2 linked regions of the Coturnix japonica genome follow. The protein of the gene in region 1 interacts with the protein of each later gene in a pairwise test. Links are inferred from orthologs where the notes say so. Each region holds a gene or a part of one and is shown on either strand. Other genes may lie near its edges.

Region 1 (2,458 bases):
CATAGACAATTACTTTACAAACCTGAAGATCTGCACTACCAGCATGCAAATCTCTTCTTCCAGGAGAGTTCCTAATACTGATATAGGAAACTGGAATGTATTAAATACTCTGAGATATGGCCGGAAATCAAACCTCAGCTCCTAGGATGTCCCACTGCCAACGTACACAAATGAACATTGTCACATCTTAAGACTTAACACATAACATCCTGGAAACAAAACACAACGCATCGCTAACACAACTGCCAACTCACATTCTTAGAACGAGCGGAACTCAAACAAAATTCCATCAATAGAAACTACACCCTGCGGGTCTGAGATCGGCCTCGTTTCTTTACTGCCATTAAGTTGCACCATCAGCTGGGCAAGGAGCAGCTCCTTCCAAGAGACCACCACTCTGCAGGTCATGTGTCCCAGCTGCTGTCTTTAAAAGCTATGTTGACTAATCGCAGCTCTAGTTCAAAAGCATCAGGACGGTCCTGCGGGTTGGCAGCCAGCATTTCCTTAATCAACTGTTTCATCTGTGCATTCATGGATTTTTTCTTTACGGGGATGAGCAGTTCCATCTTAGGGTTTTCTAGCAGTGCCTCTCCAACGGGCACAATGGCTGTCCCCTGTTTGACGTAACTACCCAGGAGTTCTTTCTTTGTCTCTGTGTCTACGAATGTGATTCTTTCTAGCATTGCCCAGATTATGATCCCCAGTGCAAAAATGTCTGCTTTGGCAGTGTAGTGTCCTTCCCAGACTTCGGGGGCCATATAGAAGTCAGTCCCACAGGCAGTCGATAGAAAACACTTATTTACGTTGACTGGTTCCTCAGGATTCTGGCCTGAAGCTGAACATACCTTACTCAGCCCAAAGTCAGCTACTTTCAATGTGGGCTCCAAGTCACTGGCATCCATCCTGCTCTGCGATATCAGAATATTGTCAGGTTTGAGATCACGATGGATAATCTGATTTTTGTGCAGGAAAGCCAGCGCACTGCTGAGCTGAAGCATGAAACTGGTGTTGGTCTTGCGGTTAGGTTTTCGAGACAACAGATACTCATTCATATCTCCTCCATCACAGAAATCCATTACAAACCAAAGGTAATAAGCACTTCTGGGGTCAAAGACTATTTCTCCTTTTAATGAGGTCTCTACAAGCTGCAATAAGGAAAAGAAGTGTCACAACTACCCGATGACCACAGAAATAGAAAGATATGATGGAAAAACAAAAAAAAAGCACACATTTTGGATCTTCCTCTCAACAGCTCAGAGAGTAAGGTATTGCCAAACGAGTTCATGCAAAACTTATGATGTAAAAAGGAAAAAAATCACAATGTATTTGTTATTTCTGTGTGCGTGTGAAGCATATCAACCTCACGCTCCTACCCAGAAGCCAGAGCCAGCCCCAGATAACAGCTTTCTGAAGGATATCAAGCAGTCCTTGCACTCCCATCTGTTTCGGCTGGCCAGCGTCCCACCCATTTTGCTAACTCCAAATACAAACACAGCCCCAACCATGAACCCCTGCACAGCAGCACAGGGCTGGGTTTGTCCTCTGCTTATAAGGCGGCCTCACTACACGTTCTTAAGAGCCTGCCCTCCATCCCTGACACGTGAATGCATTCTAGCAAGCGTTAGCACAGGATCTCTTAGCTCAGGAGAATGCTAATCCATAGGCACAGCTCAGCAGCTGCTGTAGCAACACCTTTCTCACTGCAGCACACTAGAACATAAGCAGAGAACAACTCCAGCAGCCAGTCCCAGTGGCCACTTTGTACAACGTGCAATATAAACCAGCAACTCTGCTTGCTCTCTGTTCACACAGCTACAAACCTGTCTTTTCAGCTCCTCTGAGGTGGCTCTTTGCACACTCTGGAATGTCAGACTTGCTAGTTAGCACTAAACCAGTGTTTACTAAAGCAGATGCAGCCTCTATAGGCCTTCAAAAGTGAATACAGCTATTAATACATAGAGAAACTTTAAAAAGTCTTCCTTCTCCCAAACCAAGAGCAAAATTAGTAACAAATGATAGCTACGTTTAGTTGTGAGCACAGTTAGTACTCAAACCAATTTAAGAGCAATTCTGTGTTAGCACTTAAACTGTATACTCAGGGTTTACAGCCAATAACAGCAAGATGGGAACCACAGCACAGGAGGGAGCAACTCCAACACAGAGCTCTTCCCACACTGGAGCTGTAATTGGGTCTCAGCTCAGAGCATCCAGATGACAGAATCCACCTCCAGATCTGGGACTGCGGCACAAGGAAGCCACACCAGCTCAGAGCTCACTACATAAGCCTGGTTCTGCTTATGTCTCCTGAAGCACTGCAGGAGACACCAACAGCCCTTCCCAGGCCTCCTCACACTACACCAGCTCAGCCTGGTAATGTAATATCACCTGGAGTGGGCAGAAGAGAGAGCAAGCCAAGGGAGATCTGGGTTTCTCTCTTTCAGCATAGGCTATCATAAAG
Region 2 (4,229 bases), on another chromosome or scaffold:
AGACATCATCATCATTTACCTCTAGGAAAGTTCTGGGTGTTTACTTTGGTTGCTGGTTTTGGTTTTGTTTTGCATTTTTCTCCCCAGTTTCTTCCTATCACTGGTTCTCTTTCTTATCAGATCAATTCATCTAGTTCAGACAAGATTATTATTAAGACAGTATTGCTGTGTGAGTCCTGACTTGCTAGGGCTTGGAAATGCAGGAGCTTTGCTACAGACAGTGCTAATTAAAGCAGTAAATTCAATTCCTTTCCCAAACATTTCAACGTGAAAATAAGCAAATGCATTTTTAGTATGGAGTTTCAGCACCATTGGATTGATCCTGATCATCTCACTGAATATACATCAACAGTAAGAGAAGTGAAAATGCACATTCTGGTGTTTTGGTATTGGGGAAGGGACTGCAATAAAGATGTGACAACAAGCATTGTGCTGTCAGCATGGCACATTTCCTACTAACACCATTTTACACTGAGTGTGTGTAAAGAGACTGCCTAGGAAAAAAAAAAGTCAGCTAATAAGGAATTAAGGGAGAGCTGGGAGAACTGCTTTTAGATGGAGTTGTGATGAAAACCACGTATACACCAAAATAGGAAGGTTTTTTTTTGCAGTGTTACAAACTTAAGAGTAAAAAGGAGCCAAGAACTGGCACTGACAGAAACAATACATCAACTGGAGTGGGAATTTGAATAAATTAACATGTCATGCATATACAATTTGTTTGGCTTCAGATTTTTGAATGTTCAACATACTGTAGCTGTAGAAATTAATATTGATTTAAACCATCTGCTGATTATATTTTCTCTGTATTTTTAGAAATACTTTCTTCTGTGTTTATAATAATAAATATCTGGGAGCTTCTTGCAGAATCACACTTTCAAAGTACTATCACCAACACTGCATGAGTTAGCAGTTCGTGAGGTTGCTCATGTAAAAATGCAGGCCAGAAGGAACAGATTTGAAGGACTGACCCATATCTACTTGGCCACCACTACTTGTTTGTCTACCAGTTAAAGTCCTACTGAGAGATTCTGTTCTGCCTTTTTCACTGCCAATGTATTTGTGAAACTTCTATTCACAACCTTTGGAAGTCAGTTGAAAACACTGAACAATCTGCATTATAGAGCTATTAAAAGGGCAATGCTTACAGCTGACGTGGTGGAAGATGGAATTCAGTCAAACTCTGCCCCAGAAAACTGAGGGGGAATACTGTATCTGCCAACTCTAGAAACAGACTCTAGCCATTCTCTAAGAAAATGCAAATACTGACACGTCATGCCAGTGATACAGCCTACCACCATCGCTCTGGTAGGAAGACAAGGAAAAGTTTCCTGTGTTTTACAGTTTGCTGCTAGAGAACATCCTCGTCGTCCTCCTCCTCATCTTCCTTGGCGATGAAATGCAGCCTTCTGTATTCCCGCCTGCTCATTGTTGTGCTCGGGAGAACAGCTGCTAGCTCATCCTTGAAGAAAAAGATGAAATGATGAAGTGAAGTTGCTGCAGATGGCAAACCTCCCCCATCTCCAGCAGTTCCCATTCTTCCCCAGTCTCATACATGAGGCATTAACACACACACATCTGAATAAACCTTTACAGAGTGCAGAGGGGAGCCTGTCTGAACCAGCTCATGGTCCAAGTGAGGGCTGTTGTTCTCTCTGCAGTCAAAAAGGATGCAGAGGAGATAAAGTCCTCCACAAGTGAATCCTCACTGCTCCCACTAAACACAACATTCATTAAATGGATAAAAGATGAAGGCATCAGGTGTCCAAATGTATATAATATTAAAGGCAGACTCAACCTTTACCTGCATAAAGTCAATGTTTCCAAAGAACCGATCCAGTGGCATCGGCTGGTTACTGTCTTCATCCAAGAAAGCACTGTTATCTAGTTCTGTTAGTTTCTTAGGGACGTCTCCATCCTTCAAGCAGTTCCCTTCCAAAATCAAGCTCTCACAGCTGTTCTCCTCCCTGCAGGCACGATCTTGCAGATCCTCATTGCTTTCTGTTTTTGAAGGTGCACTACTTGCTTTTGCCGCATGTGGCTTTGAAGAAACATCACCTTCCTTCTCCTGTTTTTCTCCACCGGTCTCTGGAATTCTTTCACTTTTTTCCAGCTGAATTTCGTGGTGATCTGTACCTTTTGATGGTGAGCCCTCAGCAGGTGTTTTAGATGCAGGAGGGTTCTCACTCTCACACATACAGCCTTCCAGTCCTGACTTCACCCGACTGTTTCTTTCACATTTTAGCCTCTTGGAGGGCCGTCTGCCAACTGCTTTGTGTGAAGAAGCCTGTTAGAAAAACAAAGAGAAGCACATGAAGTTCAAAAGCACCCGAACACAGCAGCAACCAGCTCGTGTGGCATGAAACTCCATGCGAGAAACCTCCTGAGCTGTAGCACCAAGCACAGCCACTATGGGAAAAGATTATTTCCCCATAAATAATAAAAGATAAAATAAATAAAAGAGCATTTAGGAGGAAAAGAAAGGCCCAAATAGAGCACCCCCACGATGGGTGCCAGGCGGAGGACATCACCGCTGGCCGCTTCCCCATCGCTCCAGGCCTGCCCCCTGCCACCACAACGGCACAGCACAGCCTCCACAGCCCGTTCCCTCCCCAGTCACCCCATGTTCCCTCCGGTCCATGGTATCAGCCCGGCTCGGCCCTCACCTGCCGGCTCCCCCCGTCTCCTTTTCCGCTACCCGCCCCGGCTCGGCCCTTCCCGCCCGCCGCCATCTTGGGGAGGAGCAGCGTCCCGGCCAGGTCCGAGCCCGGCGCTGCGGGCCGCCCTTCACCACAGGAGGGGCGGAGAGATGCCTTGGGGTGCTAGGCCCATCGCGGTGTTAAACCGCCTTCAGTGGAAATAAAATAAAATAAATGTGTATGTAGGCTGTGTATGTGATAAACACTTCGGGTCTTTTGCTTCCCAGCGCCTTCTTTTTGAAAGCTTTGCTTCTAAGATGTGCATTGGGAAGTCGTTATCCCTTCCCCACAGCCCTCAGGGAAGGAATGGTGCAGATAGCCAGCAGATAACATTGCCATTGCACATCCTGGCCTGGAAAAAGCAACAATTTGAGCCTCAGAGATTCAGCAGCAATATTCCTCTGAGGATATCCAGCTCAGATGTTTTCTTTCTCAGCTCCAGGTTGGAAAACAGGCCTGCTCAGCGCTCAGGGGTCTTCTGTGCTTTGTTCTATGGCTGAGATGATTCATATTCTCCTCCAAAGCACCGAAACTTGCTCCGCTCTCAGTGTTGTTGCTCGCAGCCAAGGAATACAGATGATTGTTTTTATTATACAGTGAGAACTTATACTGCCTCGTAAACAGGAGAGACTGGAGCTGGCTGCAGAGAGGCATTTTTGCTGCTGGAAAGCTTGGATGCCGTCTCGATTTCCTCTGTGAACTGAAAATAGCAAGAAAATAAAAAGCCGTTTGGAGATGTTAATGGATGGTTTCTATAACACCGAGGTGGCAGACTCAGCAAGGTGGCCTCGGACACATCCAGGGGATGCACACCTTGCACAGACAAAGCCAGAACAGCAGGGCTTAGAACCAGCATCATAAGGGTTGGAAAGACTTCTGAGGTTGTCAAGCCCAACCATCAACCTGTCGAGCTTCTTTGCGAGGCTCCTAGATTCTTCTCACTGCAGGAAAGGCAGCAAGAGCCCCCTAAGAGACCTGCCCATGTTTCAGCAGCTCAGTGACTCCTGAGTGCCTTGAAAGTCTGCACAGAGACCACCGGCAGCCAACAAGCCCTGAAAGCCAAGCAGAGCGGCTCAAACTATTTACATTAAACTCACATTTCCACATAAAAGAGGGCTTGGTCTCAACCGTATTAAAAAGTGGGTTTTGTTAGAATCTGTTGTCTAAGCAGGCAGGAGAAAGAGGGAAAAAAAACCAACAAGGCGATTTTCTGAGCTCCCTCGTTTTTATGAGAGCTGGCTGGCGGGTATGAAGCAGCAGCTGATGAGCTTATTGAGCAGGATGGGAGGCTCGGGCTGTGAAATTCGATGTGTAAATTAGCTTCTTGCAGCACTTGTCTCTGTGCCTGTCACTTCCACCAGTGTCTCTGTCTGTTATAATCCTCCGAGTTCATTTGGTTAAACATTAGTGACATGCAAGGGACAGCAGCCAAAAATAATGTTGCCTGTAAACGTTAACGGCTGCGAACTGTTGAATGAGAGATCTATCAAACACACCAAGCATCCAGCAAGAGCACGGACTGGTCTTTTC

Evidence for each region.
Region 2: the proteins of PDIK1L (region 1) and C21H1orf174 interact in binary tests that used the Homo sapiens proteins (3 or more experiments, as listed by UniProt). The two-hybrid records come from large-scale screens. The link is inferred for Coturnix japonica from reciprocal best matches to the Homo sapiens genes PDIK1L and C1orf174.

What each region holds. Positions count from the first base shown.
Region 1 is NC_029538.1:2,855,418-2,857,875, forward strand, and holds part of PDIK1L (serine/threonine-protein kinase PDIK1L), read right to left. Parts: intron 1,146-2,458; coding exon 405-1,145; 3' UTR 1-404.
Region 2 is NC_029536.1:765,458-769,686, reverse strand, and holds C21H1orf174 (UPF0688 protein C1orf174 homolog), read right to left. Parts: upstream 2,801-4,229; 5' UTR 2,733-2,800; coding exon 2,667-2,732; intron 2,288-2,666; coding exon 1,805-2,287; intron 1,463-1,804; coding exon 1,352-1,462; 3' UTR 362-1,351; downstream 1-361.